Caenorhabditis elegans: one gene and its partner. The protein of the gene in region 2 interacts with the protein of the main gene of each other region in a pairwise test. Each region holds a gene or a part of one and is shown on either strand. Other genes may lie near its edges.

Region 1 (9,297 bases), on a different chromosome or scaffold from region 2:
TTCGAAATTCTCATTTCATTTTAATACATACTCAAAAAACCAGAAGTTTCTAGCTTTAGTTTTGAAATTTGAAGGGTACTGTAGCGCCGAAAGTACGCAAACACTGGTGGCCAAACACCAGATTTTACGACATTGGGAGATTTTTGGCTAAAAAATTATGGGTAAATGAAAGGCGATGAATTCGAATTTTTTATTAAAAATTTGATTTTATGGACTGAAAAGCCCAAATTCAGTCGAAAAATCACCAAAAAGTAGAAAAGTGCACGAAATAAAATTAAAATTTTATAAAATGTAGTTCTCAATTTCTAGTTTCTCATAATTCCTATTCAGAAATCAAAAAAAGCGAAAAAAAAATTAAAAATTCCGAAATGATGACTCCCATCCTTCAGTGGTCCGTGAAAAGTGAATAATTTTCAACAGGGAAATGTGGGGACATATGTTGCTGCAGATTTAAGTTTCAGAAAGGATTGTGGAAAAAATTTAGAAACAAAATTTTCAAGAAAAAAATTTATCTGAAAATTTGAAACTTTAATTAAAAATTTCAAAACTGTGGAAACCTACCCAGTTTTTCTTGAAAAACTCAAATTCTTCACTTTCCGATTAGTAAATACGTACGTGGTGCCAGGCTGTTCCATCACGGTCTGCTCTACAAAAAATGCGGGAATTTTTCGCCCAAAAAATGTGACGTCGGCACGTTCTTAACCATACGAAATCAGTTGATAAGTCTGCGTCTCATCTCCCGCATTTTTGTAGATCTACGTAGATCAAGCCGAAATAAGACATTCTGACACGAAGTTTACACCGCGATTTACTTTTGGGGCTACAGTAACCCAAAAAATCAGGCTAACGCTACAGGCTTGTAGTTTTTTGCATCTAGACCAGAATCTCGGATTTTTTTGTTAAAAATTTTTATAAAAAAACAAAAAATGTCGATTTTTTTCAGTTTTTTTTTTGGTTCAAAAAAAACAGTTCAAAAAATATATCCGGCCAAAAGTTTAGAAGAAAACATGAACTTTCAATTCTTTTAGAACTTCCTTCTTTCTTCATGAAGAGCACCAAAAATCGGAGGCCAGGCATCGTCGCAACCTCCACTTGAGGACAAAATTATTTGGGGGAGCGCTTTTTTCTTCTGAATGGAAGTATTTTTGGAGTGCATTATTATTGTGTGACGGTGGGTGCCGACCACGTCAGGGAATTTTTGAAAAAAAATTGGAAAAAAAATTTCCCAAAAAAAATTGTTACACTTTATTTTTTTTCGATTTTTTCCCTAAAATTTTTTTTTGAAAAACTAGTTACGGAAATTATTTTTAGCTGAAACTACAAAAATGTGCTAATTTTAGACGTAAAATACCCAAAAATTAAACTATTTAGAAATATTTCCAAAAAAAATTATAAGTTTTCGTGGCGGGACCCAACAAATTCCAATTTTATAAAAAAGTTCCTGTATTTTCAAATAAAGCTCGCCGAGAGCTTTGATTTAAGTATAATCATGACCTACTTTTCTTGGAGTTGAAAAAATGTGGGTCTCGCCACGAAATTTATAGTAATCCTGAGATTTTCGTGGGGAGACCCAGTGAATTTAAACTTTCTCAAAAAAATTTTGTGTTTTCGAATTCAGCTCACTGAGAGCTTTCGAACAAGTATAATCACGGCATACATTGCTCGAACTTGAAAAAAAACGTTGGGTCTCGCCACGAAAAATACAGTAACCCTGGGATTTTCGTGGTGAGACCCAACTCAATTTCAGGCAAAACAGGTCATGATTATACTCATTTGAAAGCTCTCGGTGAGGTAAACTCGAATTTTGCGAAAAATAGAGAAAAATTAAAATTTTTGGAAAATCCTTTGAAAAATTAGTGTTTTCAAAAAAAACTTTTCCAGAAAAAAACTAAAAAACAAACAAATATAAAACTAAAAAAGGCGCGCGCGCCAAAAAAATTCCCAAAAAACACGACGAATTTGCATGACAAATGTGGAAAGGAAAAATGCGCATTTTTCCCGAATTTCGGAGAAGGAGCACCTTGCTGCTCCGGGGAAATCGCGGAGCCATAAAACATGAAATTGAGGGGACTTTTATTACTCGTTTTACTCACTAAAATCACTATTAAACGGGGAACATAAAAACAGGAAAAGTACCTAAAAATGGGGAAAATCTCGAAAAAAAAAGCTCTAAAAATTTTTAAAAATTCCAAAAATTTTGAAAAAAAAATTAGGGGAAAAAAGGCATCGGGGGTCATGAGAATTAGAGAAAAATCGATTTTTTAACGAAAAAAAACAGAAAATTATGCGATATTCAGGCTCTTTTTGACAGCTTTCACGACGTGTTCGGCGGTTGGAAGGGCGGCAGCCTCCAAAGTTTGAGTGTATGGCATTGGAACATCGACTCCGGTGACTCTGGAAAATTTTTTAAGATTTTTAGGAAATTTAGAGCATTTCGGGGGATTTTGGAGCTTATTAGGGAATTTTGTAGAAATTTCTAACGAATTCGGAGCTTTTTCAGAGAATTTAGAGCAATTTCTAACATTTTTTGAGCTTGTTTGAGAAAGTATAGAGTTTATAAAGCGAATTTTGGAGCAATGTATTGTGAGATTGCGGAGGGCTTTTGAAGATTTTATAGAATTTTTCAGAGATTTTGGAGCAACTTTTGAGCAGATTTGGAGCATTTTCGGGATGTTTAGGCTGTTTGGAGCACCTTGGAGCATTTTTGAGAAATTTATAAGCAATTTTCAGAGGTTTTGGAAATTTGTGAAGACTTTCTAAAATTTGAGAGCTTTTTTGTGAAATTTTCAGAGATTTTCGAGGAATTATTCAGCAATTTTGGAGCTTTTTAGGGGAATTTAAAGGATTTTTGAAAATTTGCTAAAACTTTGGAGCAATTTTGAGAAATTTATGAGCTCTATGGGGGTTTTTTCCTGAGATTTTGGAGCATTTTCTCGCATTTTAGAGGTTTTTATTCGGGTTTGGATCATTTTTACAAAAATTTGAAGTGTTTTTCGGGAGTTTTGGAAAATTTTAAAGGATTTTATGCGATTTTTCGCATGTTTCGAAGATTTTCGAGCTATTTTCGAATTTTTCGCTTTTTCTTTAAAAAAGAACAAGAAAAATTCGAAAGAATCACAAATTTTCAGCTGTTTTCCTCATATTTTAGGGTCCTTTTTGTTTTTGTAATGAAATTATAAAATTTTCAGATAATTTCGAGTATTTCCTTCAACTTTTCAGAAAATGTCAAATTTGGAACATTTTAAAGATAAAATTTCAAGTTTTGTGCCATTCTTAGCAGTTATTCATCAAATTTTTAGCATTTTAAGCCATTTTTCGCAAATTTTCTCTTACGGACCTCAAAAGTGGCGCGTCAAGTTGATCGAAAACATCGCTCTCCATAACTTGAGCAGCAATTTCTGAGCCAATTCCAGCAAATGGCCATCCAGTCTCAACAGACACCAAATGATGAGTCTTATGAACTGATTGACGAATCGATTCGAAATCAAATGGACGAAGTGAGCGAAGATTAATAACTTCTGCTGAAACTCCGATAGCTTCAAGCTGTTTTGCAGCTTCCAGTGAAAATTCAACTCCACGTGAATACGAGACAATTGTTACGTGATCACCAGCTCTTTCGATCTTTGCCTTGCCAATTGGAACCACGAAATCATCGGAAAGAACCTCGTCGCCGACTGGGAACGATTGTCCATAGAGAATCTCGTTTTCCAGGAAGACAACTGCAAAAAATTCGAATTTTTCCCGAAAAATTGAATTTAGGAGAATATTATAAATTTTCGCAGAATTTTCGGCCAAAACTGAAAAAAAACTGGTTTTCAGATATTTTCCTATAGAATTTTTAATTTTTTTTGGATTTTTTCCTGAAAAACTGCTAAATTTGCACAATATTTTTCGAAATTTAGATTTTACAATGTAAATCTCCGGAAAAAAAGTAAAAAAAAAACATTTTTGAATGAAAAAACTAAACAAAAACCGACTTTTCTCAAATTTTTGATGAAAATAGCGCCGATTTTTTGATTCGGGGTTACTGTAGCGTCAAAAGCACGCAAACATTGGTGTTCGGAAAACCATTTTTCACAAGAAAATCGTTAAAAACTCAAAAAATGAATTAAAAATTCAAATTTGCCACCTTTTAATCAGTCTAAACTGAAATTTTCAGCCAAAAAGCTCCCAATTTCGTAAAATATGGTGTTTGCGTACTTTTGGAGCTACAGTAACCCGGAAAATTTCAAGAAACCGCTTAATTTGATCCTAAAATTTCGAAAATATCAGAAGTTTTCCAGTTGTCACGGTTGTTGACTGAAATTTTCTGGAAAATCTGAATTTTGCATCGAAAATCTCCAATTTTCGCGACAAGTACCCGGATTATCGTCACGAATCGCAGCTTTCAGGAGTCCCTTCGCATCTTCAGCACTGTACGGACAGACAACCTTCAGTCCTGGACAATGAGCATACCAAGCTGAAAAGTCTTGAGAATGCTGAGCAGCAACTCCGGCGGCGGCTCCATTTGGTCCACGGAATACGATTGGGACGGGTACCTGGAAAATAAATTTTCTCGATTTTTTTCTTCAGATATTACAAAATCTCTACAATTTTCGTTTTCAAATGTTTCTTCAATGATTTTATAAATATCATTTTCTCCGGTATTTTTCTTGGAAAAGCGGTGTTTTCAGAAAAAAAAACAAGAAAAAAAAACTTTAAAAGTTATAAATTCCCTATATTTTCTCAGTTTTGGACCGATTTTCCGAAAAAAAATTTCCAATTTCTGATAAAATTCACTGATCAGAAAGTGTTCAGTGATAAGAATTCTTATCAGTTGATGATTTTTACAAATTTTTTCTTATCAAAATGGCGTGAGACCATGTGAAAAACATGATTTTTCAGCATAAATTCAACGAAAATGGCTGAAAAAATGAAATTTTCAGTGAAAAGTCGAGAAAAATCGGATTTTAAAGCTAAAATCAGCTCTGTTGAGGTAAAATTTGTGTAGAAATTTCAGAAAAACCCTGATTTTCAGTCAAAAATCTAGAAAAATCGCATTTTTTGTATCAGAAATTGACTTTTTCCTGAAAAATCAGTGTAAACCGAGGAATTTCGTTCTAAAAATAGCAGAAAGCGTGATTTCTCACGAATTAGTCAAAAATTTGGTGAAAATCTTCAATTTTTCGGCTATTTTTTCGCTGAAAATCGCAATTTCCAGAAAACGTGGCACATTGCCAAGACCGTACCCTTCCGGCGGACATATAATATGTTTTTGCGGCTGAATTAATAATCTGATCGATGGCTTGCATGGAAAAATTGAATGTCATGAACTCGCAAATTGGACGGAGCCCGGCGAAGGCAGCACCGACGGCGATTCCTGAAAAAAATGTGATTTTTTTGGAGGAATTTTCAGTTTTTTCTGAAAAAATTTTGCTAAAAATTGAATAAATCGAGAAAAATGCGAAAATTCGAGCTTTTTAGACAATTTTTGCTGAAAAATTGAATTTGCGCGGTCTTAGAGCTTTTCTGCAAATAACATTGGGAAAAATCTGATTTTTATATAAAAAATGTGATTTTTCAGCTTAATTTTCGACAAAATTTTGATAAAACCGGAATTTTCTGCGAAAAATATCAAAACTCCGTAATTTCCGAGCTTTTTGCAGTGAATATTGAAATTTTCAATAAAAAATGCCGAAAATTAATTGTTTTTAGGAAAATTTCCGAAATTTGTTCGAAAAATCCAATTTTTAGTGTAAAAACTGAACTTTTGAGAGAAAAGATCCAAAATTAAAGTAAATTTGGACACTTTCTTTTCGAAAAAATGGTGCTGTTTTTGGGGATTTATTAGTGATTTTGACGTTCCGAGTCAACATTTCTCGATTTTTCTCGATTTCCAGCGTGATTTCCCGTACCAGCGAATCCCATTTCAGTAATTGGAGTGTCGACGACTCGCTTATCACCGTGCTTCTTCCACAATCCCTTGGAAATCTTGTAAGCTCCGTCGTACTGAGCAACTTCTTCTCCCATCAGGAAAACTCGGTCGTCACGTTTGATTTCCTCGTCCATAGCCTGATTTAGGGCGTCACGGACGGTCATTGCTGAAAAAATTGGCGATTTTTATGCTTTTTTAGGTTAAAATTCGTTTTTTCCGTTCAATTCTTCATTTTTAGCCGGTAATCAGCGATTTTTTCGTTTTTTTTCCATTCATTTTTTGCAATTTCTACTCACTGGAAGCCGCTCTGGTCGAGGTGCCAGCGAGACGAGCCACGAACAGGTTTCCACACTTTCTCAGAGCCATTTCGACCGGGGATTACCTGAAAAACCGGAAATTAATTGAAATTTTGAGGCTTTTGCCGGAAATTTTGAGAAAAATAGAGAAAAACTAGGATTTTTTAAAAAATTTAGGTATTTTGATTCAAAATTCTCACATTTTCATTAGTTTTTCTGCTGAGCATATTGTTTTAATGCTAAAAACTCAAAATTTAGACCAAAACCCTTCCAAATAGAATTTTACTGGTTTCTAGGGTTTTTCACTACGATTTTTCACATTTTCACCACTAAAACAGGCGGAAATCGATAATTTAAACCATATTTCCCCCGATTTTAATAAAAAATCAATGAAAGATGCGCAAAAAAGCAAACAAAACTCGGAGAAAATGCGCGCGGCGCTCCTCTCGAAAAATGTGTGCAATATGGCGTCGCGGTGTTTGCGTACAAAACGCCGGTTGAGCTGCAGAAGCTCGTCGACCGTAGTCTTTGGGGTGTTTGCAGGGAGTTTCTATGGGAACGGAGGAAATATTGAATGGGGGAATAGGCAGGCAATTGTTGAGAAGAGAAGTTTCAATTGAATTCTGCACGAAAAATGTCGTATCGTGAGCTGAGAAGTAAGTTTTTAAGGCTTTTTTAATTTTAAATTTGAACTTTGAGATTTTCATATGGAAAAAATAAGTGTTGCATTAAAATCTAGGTGAGAAATGTTTCTAAACCATAAAACGCAAAAAAAAGACCCAAAATACACTTAAAATTGAATTTTACAAAATCATGGCCGAGTTCGGATTCTAGTCCCAAATTTCGCCAACTTCAGACCTGTGTGAGATGACGCGAAGCCTCCGATACCCTCGCTTGATGTCAATTGAGAATTTCCGGACCCCAAATTTTCAGCTGGTGGCTGAATTGCTGGAATGGATCGTGAAAAAGTTAGTTTCCCAGTGAAAAAAATCGTTGGCCGAAAAATATAGAAACTTTGGCCACTAACTTCCAAGCCTACTCTAAGCCCAAAAATTCCAGATTTGAGCCCGAATCCAACCTTGACGCACACGAAGTCCAAACAGAAGCTGATCGGGTCGCTTTCATCAAGAACGCGGTACTCCTGATGCTCCAAAATTCGAGAATCAAGATGAATCCAAAAAAGTTGTACCAGGCTGATGGTCATGCGGTGCAGGAACTCCTACCGGCCATGAAGATCCTCTACCAGGCCAAGGCAGAGGACCCGAACACTGATAACTCGCCAAAATGGACCCAAGTCAAGAATAAGCTCTCGTCGAAGGTGGGTCTCACAGGCCACCAGCCTGAAAAAGCCTGAAAAAACTGTCGAAAGTTCAGATGCAGGAGGTCCGAATCACTCGTCAGCTATCATCACAACTCCCGGAAACAGGTGCCCTGCTCAGTGAGCTGCTGTCCCGGCAGGAGTTCATATCTCAGCAACACGAGAGAGCCGCGTCACGGGCGGTACCACTTGCTGAGGCCGAGAAGGTGCTGCAGGCAACAGTGCAGAACATCGCTCAGGAGACTGAGCAGCTATCGGTAAGCTTGACGGGTCACGGAGCTCCTGGTGGCGTAGGTTTGAGCTCTGGCGTCTTAGAGTTTGAGAGATTGGCCTGGCTCGATCCTGATTGTGAAGCGGACAGTAAAAAGCTTGGACTTCTTCTAATGGCGTGGGCTTGGTCAAAGAGTGACTTGAACTTTGATTCAGACTTTGAAGCTTCATTACCTGAACTCTAGTGGTATATGCAGGGCTTCAAGCCACTAGACCGGGCCTGTGCATCTTCTCCAGAAGCTCAGAGACCCCTAGCCTCGAGGAGTCCGCTGAGGATCTTGGAGCTGAAGGAATAGACTGAATTAGCCTAACTGGCTTGAAGCAACACCCACTCCACTCGAACCCACGTGATTGTTCTTAAAGCCCGGAGGGTCTGAGTCACTTACAATTAGGTTAGGTGCAGGCTCCCCAGCTAACCTCTCAAATTTTCAGAACAAGCTGAACAACGTGGCCAGCGATGAGGCAGAGCTCGACGAGAAGATAGAGCGAAAGAAGCGAGAGTACGAGCAGTTGCAAAAAAGATTCGCAAAGCTACAGTCCTTCCGACCTCAGTATATGGACGAGTACGAGCGGTTTGAGGAGCGACTGAAGAAACTTTATGAGGTAAGACACCGGATACCGAGCTGCCCTGTGAAGCCTAAGCTTCCAGGTCTACGTGCTGAACTTCCGCAACCTGTCCTATCTGCGAAAAGTTCATGATGACTTGGCGAGGTCCGAGCGGCAACGGCAGGAGGAGCTGGAGAAGGCGATGAGGATGGCCGTTGAGAAAATGCGGCTGGAGCAGGAGAAGAAGGATGCGTGAGTTTTCATGGAAGTTTAGAACTTCCGACTGACATCCTTATTTCAGCATCGGACTCCACGACGACGACGGCTCCGACGCCCCCTTGGTGGACAGGAGGCAGTGTAAGTGTTAAGTTCTATCAGCTCCACAGGTTTATTAACCATTTCCAGCTGTTCGCAAGGTGTACGGTAACATGATGGGTGGTGATGCCTCTGATGATGATGAGGACGATGAGGATGACGAGGATGATGAGATCATCAGGATGGATGATAATGTCGCGCAGCATCACAAGAGAGAACTTCATCGGCAGGAGGAGGATGAGGAGAGAAGCGAGGCGGATTATATGGTCGGGGTGAGTGATAAGGTGCTTGGGAGGGTAGATGATCGTCTCCTCATGGTCAGGTGGATTTAGCTGCTAGATCTTTGGAAGTTCAGAAACTTCCACTAGGATGCGTTGTGACGTCACATTTTTTACAAATGCCTCCTGTGACGGCAACCTACCGTACCCCGCAGACAGGCCAACAACACCCTGTCGGTGTATGAGCTTCAGAAAAAAGGCTGTGACGTCACTCCAGTGAAAATTAAGTTTCCCGCGATTTCTGGCCTTAAGCTTTGCCTGGTCGTAATCTAAACCAGAAGCGCGTACCCGTGGAAACTAAAATTATCGATTTTCAGATCACCACCGCCCACGTGGCCGACGACGCGAAAAGCGACTTGA
Region 2 (7,898 bases):
TCTCAAATCGGCGAGCCTTTGTCTTTTAAGGAAGTGTGGTTTGTATATATTTGGTAGCAAACATCAGACAAACTTCGCTAGACTAATTGGGGAGTACGTGTAAGAACAATAATCGGCATTTGTTAGATTTCTGACAAAAGCTAGAAGTTTGCGCATAAAATATTTTTATAGACACTCGAAAAGTAAAGCTTAATGTGTCGTCGACAAGCCTAATGAAGCTCATAGGGTAGAGGTGGCACAGCAGCAGACTCCGCCCAAAAATTTCAGCACAGCGGTAACAAATCAAGGGGTTTTATTAGCAGACATTCGACACACACGAAAACGCAGAAAAATAGTCATAAACGAGAAGAATATCTGAAAATCATAATTGATGGCTATGAGGCTAGAAGCGATAGATGTGTGCGTATGGAGTTACTAGATAAGGATTTGAACAATATTGAATTAAGATAATGGACTGACTATTTTTCCTTTGAGAATTGAGTTGCACGAGAAACTGGGGAGTTTTTTGAAAAAAAAAAACAAGTTCTACGAAAATATCTAAAGAATACGAGGAAAAATTTTAAAAAAAGCACTGTTCAAGAGAGAAAAAGTTCCTCTGAACATTTTCGGCAAAACTGATGTCCGGCAAACGGCGAATCGGCAATTTGTCAAGAATAAAAATTTCCGGCACATTGGCAAACCGGCAAATTGTTGGAATTCTAAATTTCTTGCAAATCGGCAAAACATTTGCCGAATTCGCCGAAATTGTCGACAAAAAAATTGCCGTATGGCAATTGCGGAGGGATTGATATCGTCTTTGAAATCAGGAAAAACATAAAACATTCAATTTATTTCTTTTTGAACCATCGTTGTAGGTTTCCTGAACCAGAATGCAAGTACAGTGTACATCATGGATCAGACAAACTTGGACGAATTGTGACATCAAAAGTGAACATTGGAGATGAAATTTATCACTCGTGGAATTGTAATTATAGTGGCGATCACAAAAACTACTTGTTCTGTGTGATGGTCAATAATTGCACGATTTCAGACAGCGGGGAGGAAGAAATAGGAACAAGGAAGGTAAGAGCAGGTCGATAACAACTCAATAGTAGAGTATCATTTAAAGATTCAAATAATCGACGAGAATGGGTGTTCGGTGTTCCCAAACATTCTACCCGATATATCATATCAAGGAGATTTATCAGCTGGAATTAAGGTTCACGCGTTCGCATTGGATGTGGACACGGTAAGTTAAAAGTGGAATAGCACCAGTGGGAATTTTGTCTACAGTTATAATAACCCAAAACCACCGAATATCATAATAAAACACTCAACAAATTTTAGATTTTCATAATTTCCGGTCAAAGTTTTGGCAAATTTCCCTATTCAAAAAAAAAAAAGATTTTGAGGAAATCTAAGGCAATGTCGCATCTTCCGACGTTCTATAATGTTTCAAGACGAATAACCAAGACAAAATTACAGTATAAAGAATGTAGGAAACAAATTTTGGTCGACTTTCAAAACTATGAGTGGCAAATGAAAAAACTGAGTAATTGCCACTTTTTGACAGTAAACAAAAAATTCTTTAAAAATTTTTGAAAAGTTTTATTATGGTATTTGGTCATTTTGCTATAAAATGAGTAGTTTTTAACACTCTCCCCACTGACGCTACTCTACCTTTAAGAATCGTGTGGAAAATATCACTTCTAAAATCTCAGACGGCTGTTCATTTCACATGCAATATAAAAATGCTGTTCAAGGACCATGAACAGTGTCAGAGGCCTCGATGTGGAAACCAACGACGATTTTCGAGATATTTAAATTGAGATATGATATGAATAAAACATTTTGTCTAATAAAATTTTTCAAAAAGTTTCACACGCAGGATTTATGTACGAAATGTTTAATTATTATTGCGTGGAGGTTTTTTGTGTCAAAATCTATAACAACTAATATTCCCAAAAGACTGGAATTAAACACCGAAAACCCTTATTGACGCAGGTAACACCCTTGATGACCGTTCATTATTTTAAGTTTCTTACCGCTTTTCAAATATAACACGTAATTGGTGGGTTTAGCTTTTGTGGTAAAACTTCAGTTTCAGAAATTGAGTGGAAAAGAAAAAAAAGAAGATAGATGTTCCGCAGATTATAGAGATTGAAAGCTAAAATTTACATGACTGAATGATTCATAAATTTTTCTATTCTAGAAATTTCTCTGTAATTATCATCCCAAGAGGGAATAATAATGATAAAATATTTAGTGAAGATGTATGATGCAGGAGATGAACATATGTAGAAAACAATTTATTTATCAAAATATACACAAAAAACCATCACAAAGTTATTTTTTCCCAAAAATTAATAATTAAAGTTAATTTACTTTCTGCAGGAAGCCGAACAACTCTGCTGACAAGCTGGCTGACACTGCGAGATTGGTTGCTGTTGCTGAATGCATTGGGTGTTGCAGCTTTGCTCACATTGTGGCTGACACTGTGGGGACTGACGAGCAACTGGAACATTGATGGTAAGCTGAATTTGTTGTTGCGTTTGAACTGGAGCTGCTGGAGCAGCTGGGGAGCAGGCTGGCTGGCATTGAGCGTCGCATTGTGGAGCGCACTGGTTCACTGGGGTCTGCTGGACTTGGCATTCCTGGTTGCACTGGGTTTGGCAAGTGTTGCACTGGGAGATGGTTCCTCCGACCTACAAATTTAGGTTGGATTTCTTTAAATCTAGATTTAGAAGTAATACTATTAATATGTTACCTGAACATTGGTGTCTCTGTATGGCTGGTAGGTTGGTGCAGCAGTCTGGGAAGCTCCTTGGTATGATGGAATGGCTCCTGGCTGTTGGTAGTTGTTGTTGGTTTGGTAGTTGTTCTGGGCCTGTGGCTGGTAGTTGACTTGGTTGTAAGCGGAGCCAGATGGCGTGGCACATTGTGGCTGGCACGATTGATCACATGATGATTGGCACTGTTGCACTGGCTGCTGTTGCTGCTGGCATGTGTTAAGGCACGAGTTTTGGCAGGTATTGCATTGACTGGCTTGTTGCTGTTGTGGTGGGGCAGTATTGTACTCGGATCTTCCGGTGTAGGCTGGGATTTGTCCTGGCTGAGCGTAGGTTTGCTGTTGGATCAATTGTTGAGAGTACTGATCATCGGATTGACATGTCGTCTGGCATTGCTGCTGGCACTGTTGCTGTGGTTGTTGTTGTTGTGGGCAAGCAGCTTGACAATCTTGTTGGCACTGTTGCTGAGCTGGCTGCTGAAGCTGAACTGGCTGAGCGCATGCGGACTGGCAAGTGGAAGAGCAAGATGATTGGCACTGGGCGATTGGCTTAAATAATATGAAATGGCTAACTGGGTTGAATTTGGTTTGACTAACCTGTTGCTGGGCAACACAGCTCTGTTCACAGGAGCTCTGACAAGTTGGTGCACACTGTTGTTGCTGATACTGTTGAGCGCATCCGCAGCTTGATGGCTGTTGAGCTTGAGCGCAGGAGCAAGATTGTTGGGCGGTGTTGGTTTGAGCTGGTTGGCAGTTGCATTGTGGAGCAGCTGGAATGGCGCATCCACATGAAGATTGGCGACGAGCGCGGAGGAACTGAAAAAGGAACGACTTAATTTTTCAACTTAATTTTTTAGTCTTCTGGATAATATCTCATTTGCAAAAAACCTTCTAAATAGGCCCTTGCAAAAAAAATTAAGCGGCAGAGGAGAACTTAGAACTAGAAAAATTTCGATCTGAAGTTGCTATTAGTGTATTTTTTTTATTACTTTAGAAGCCCGTAAAATTGAAAATCAGAAAAACCCCTTGAGTGAAAAAATTTCAGATTTTTTCAAAAAATTAAAAATTCCAAAAAAATTTACGATTGTTAGCCAGCTCCTAAACATGCTAGAAGCTCTTGAAAGTCAGCAAAAATTCACACTTGGCACATTTTTACTGCCCTCGATAGTTCGAAAGTTGTGAAAAATTCATTGAAAACTTTTCAGAACGACTTTTTTGCAGCTCAAAATACTCCCCTGTTGCTAAATTTTCAGTAGTAAAATAATGAAGTCAAACGATAAACTATTTGAAACATATATTAAGAAGTTCCTATATTTTACTTAATTCATATTCAAGTTATGCAATTGCTTGTGAGTGAGCACGAAATGTTTTAAAATTAAAAAATAAGTATTTATAATATAAGAGTTAGAAAAGGGGAACAAATGAAATATTTATAATTAGATTCATAAAAATAATACATACCACATTCTCCTCAGCAGCCACCGCAAGTGCTGAAACCGCCAAAAGCGAAAAGAGAATTGAAAATTTGGTGTTCATTTCAAGCTTGTCAGAGTGAGTGATGATTGTCCCAATACATGCTCTTGCTTATATATCTTCCCGTTGCAATCAGTTAAACATCGCCCCCTCTCCTCTACTACCACCTCTGTCCCAAATTCCGGTTTCTTCGAGTGATGCGTCTCCAAATTTTTTGCGTGTGCCTGTGTGTGTGTGTGCTCATGTGTTTGGAAGAGCAGAGCAAGAGGGGGAGGGCGTGTTGTTATGTTGACATGTTGTTATTTTTTTGTTTTTTACTTTCTAGTATTCACAAGGGTTACAGTTGAAGAACTGGAGGGACGTGATCTTTCAGGACTTGGTCGATGTCAAAAGTCTTCCGGTGGTCTTTCAGCAGCCATCACAAACTACAGCAAAATATCTTTCTTCTTTAAATAATCTTTCTGATTAATTTGCAGTCACAAATTCAGTTCCTCATTCCTCATTACTCATAGAGTTATTACAAAGACAAAAATAGATATTTGAGAGTTCACTCGGTCAATCACCATTTCTAAAGTTCTTACTTTTCTTCCCAACAACATTAATTATCCCTGTGAAGTCTAGACTATGATATAATTGTTGTTGCTCAGAAAATAATCATGGAACATATTTGCAAATAAATAGATTTTTGTATATGGTGTAAATGTCATGAGTAATATATTACGTAATAACATTCTGACAGGACAATAACGTATGCTCCATGGGGTTTCAGGACGAATGACATGTTTTCTAGAAACTACATGAGTAAAATAAATTAATAACAAGATTTTGACAAATTCAAAACCCAATGGCAAAAGTATCATTTTCAACTTTAAATGGTTATGTTTGCAAATATAAGCTGTTTTTGTTGCTCTAGGAAGATATCAGTTAAAAACTCTTTAAAAAGTTATTAAAATGTATGAAGATTGCTTTCATTATTCTCAAACTTGTCATGTAAAACATCAAAAACCTGCCAGTCTATGACCTACAAATTGCGTCAATTGTTTGATGTTCTAAACTTGGTGAGAACTAGTTTACCAGCGCTGAATCTTTTTTGTGCTCAAAGCGGAATGGAATTTTTTGATCTTAGTCATTGCATCTTTACTCTTGTGGAGGTGCACTCATACTAATATCATATCATATAACCTGATAGTCTTGCCAATATTGCGGGAAACTGATAAATCCACTCGGCAAATAGTTTTGGTGCAGTTTTCGATATTTAGTACGAATGTTTTTATAAAATTATTTCAAGGGAAACCTTGAATACTTTGTAAAATTACATTGTACCTTTTTGCAGATAGAGGTCTTAAATTCATATTACATTTTTTTACAGCGCCTTCACACCCACCCAAATCCAAATTCCGTTGAATTGTTTTCATTGATACTCATGATTTTTTGTTACCACAATCGCTCACGCTTTTCAAGAGATTATTCTTGAGGAGCATGTTTCCTTAGGATCAAGGGTGTGGGAAGAACATTGCGAGAGTGAGAATGAGCACGGAAAATGACCGGTCTTTATGAGAGCGGAAGTATGTATACACTATCTCTATCTTGTTAGACAAATAATCAACACATGTAGTAGCTAATGTAGGAATGCTAATTATGTTAAGACGTGTGGGGGGATTAGATGCTGTGAATGAGCAGTTCTACAAAAGATCAAGGGGTACTGAGAAATTTGCTCTTTTCGATAGGAAGACTCTGCAAAAGATCAGATGCATGGATTCTCAAATCACAGCGTGTATTTGAGAGCTACACAACAAAAAATGTGTACGGCTGTCGAACCGTATTATACAAAAACTTTTCAAATTAGGGGCGGGCGGCAATTGCCGTTCGGAAGTTTTTTTGTCGACAAATTCGGAAAATCGGTAAATTGCCGGTTGACTGGTTTGCTGAAAATTTTCAATTCCGGCAATTTGCTAGTTTGCCGATTTGCCAAAAATTTCAATTCCGGCAATTTAGCAATTTGCCGGAAAAAATCGTTTGCCGCCCATCCCTGATTCAAATATAATATTTGAAAGAAGTTTCACACATAATATGTTTATCAACTTTCTGAGAAAAAAAAGCCAAATTTAGGTTTTAGCTATTGTGATTTTTTTCCGAAATTAATTTTTGGCACCTCAACGTGTAGTCCAAGAGGTAGACAGTTTCAAAAAGTGATGTTTAAAAATTTCCAAAACAATTGAGCTTGATTTTCTGATCCTTGAATAATGTATCGATGCTTGGTCGTTGCCTACGTAATCAGACGTTGTTTCTTCCTTTTCGTCTACTCACTAATAGAATACAATCCTGTCTGCCTGAAAACCGGTGCTCACAGGCACCCGCAGGTCATTCAATGACAGCTACAACAACTAATTGTTTGGGAGGCAAATACAACATGAAAAGTGAGAAGAAATGGGTTTTGAATAGGGGGAAATCGCCGATGGGCAGAGACCTTGTGAGGCTCAGTTTCATATTTTGCCATAGTATGACGTGCTAGGATGGACAGTGGTAATAAGGAAAAGGAGTTTGTGGAGGAGTGGGTTCAGGACTCACATACTGGAGCCCAGGTCCCTCTCGATCATTTGGTTAGTTGTTTTTTCTACATTTATTTCCTTCACATTCTGTAATTAAAGTTTATTTCATAAAAGCGCATCATTATTTTCTAGGCCCCCACAAAACTTTTAGCGGCAGAGGAGCACTTTGAACAGAATAAAAGTCGCTCTGAAATTGCTTTTTTTCACTACTTTAGAGGCCCGTTAAATTGCCGCAAATGATAATTTTTCAAAAATTACTATGATTTTTAAGCTGTTTCGAGGTAGACAAGTATTCTGGAAGTTTTTTGGAATTTTTTTTTTTGGAAAAATCCCGTGATGGTTTTTTTTTTCACTGTTTTAGTGGATGAAAAAAAAATTCAGATTAAAAAAATTTCCGAGTCGGAAATTGAAAAATTCAGTGTTTTAAATATTTTTCTTAAGTGGTGTGGTAAAATAAGAATTTTTTAGAGTTTTTTTTTTTTGTAAAATGAAACAATTAGTCAGGAATGCAAACTAGAGTGTCTGACTAAAAAGTGGGCAAAAACAAATCTATAATGAATCGATAACACCTGGCCGTAAATATAGCCAACCAACCATTTCTGGAGGGCAATAGGCACATATTGTTTGTAACTCCATTTACTTATCTAGTTTTTTAAATATAAATAATTTTTTTTTGAAAATTATAAAATTTTGGTTTAAAAATCATATGTTCTTCAGCATCAATTTTGTGTCGAATCGAATGCAACTAAATCTGATTTTGAATTTGAGTTTTCACAATGATAATTCACATTTTACAGGTATCCCTCTACGGATATGCGCTTCTTGGCCTTGAAGATTCTTCGGAGACGGTTAGATTTCGAAAAATTGAAACCCAAATTGAGGAATCTGGAGTCAAGGATGAAGAAGAGCAACACTATTCCAGTTCCCAAGAGGTAGCAAAGAAGGAAGAGGATAAAGAATATGAAGAGCCAAAAAGGAGAGTCAGGGTAAGTTCTTCAACAATTTTTGTTCTAGGATATACAGTTGCGACCAGATACATGAAGATCATTCTGATAAAGCTTGTCTAAACGACAAGTGGTTTCAGTTTCTCTGCAATAACGGCGCTTGTT

What was found. Proteins that work in one complex are often made in the same cells at the same time.
Region 1: the proteins of abu-11 (region 2) and pdhb-1 interact in a two-hybrid assay, tested with the Caenorhabditis elegans proteins (one large-scale study listed by BioGRID).

The regions. Positions count from the first base shown.
Region 1 is NC_003282.8:3,396,671-3,405,967, reverse strand, and holds pdhb-1 (Pyruvate dehydrogenase E1 component subunit beta, mitochondrial), read right to left. Parts: upstream 6,297-9,297; 5' UTR 6,281-6,296; coding exon 6,211-6,280; intron 6,081-6,210; coding exon 5,895-6,080; intron 5,360-5,894; coding exon 5,229-5,359; intron 4,539-5,228; coding exon 4,361-4,538; intron 3,720-4,360; coding exon 3,338-3,719; intron 2,395-3,337; coding exon 2,283-2,394; 3' UTR 2,065-2,282; downstream 1-2,064. Other genes in the region: dyf-3 (Clusterin-associated protein 1 homolog), read left to right, coding at 6,845-6,866, 7,067-7,178, 7,270-7,528, 7,585-7,785, 8,231-8,401, 8,448-8,596, 8,646-8,701, 8,750-8,931 and 1 more. UniProt on the Caenorhabditis elegans protein: The pyruvate dehydrogenase complex catalyzes the overall conversion of pyruvate to acetyl-CoA and CO(2).
Region 2 is NC_003280.10:190,232-198,129, forward strand, and holds abu-11 (Activated in Blocked Unfolded protein response), read right to left. Parts: upstream 4,328-7,898; 5' UTR 4,304-4,327; coding exon 4,229-4,303; intron 3,584-4,228; coding exon 3,365-3,583; intron 3,317-3,364; coding exon 2,747-3,316; intron 2,685-2,746; coding exon 2,361-2,684; 3' UTR 2,278-2,360; downstream 1-2,277. Other genes in the region: T01D1.8 (ZP domain-containing protein), read left to right, coding at 855-1,062, 1,109-1,228, 1,701-1,808; chs-2 (chitin synthase), read left to right, coding at 6,754-6,840, 7,587-7,775.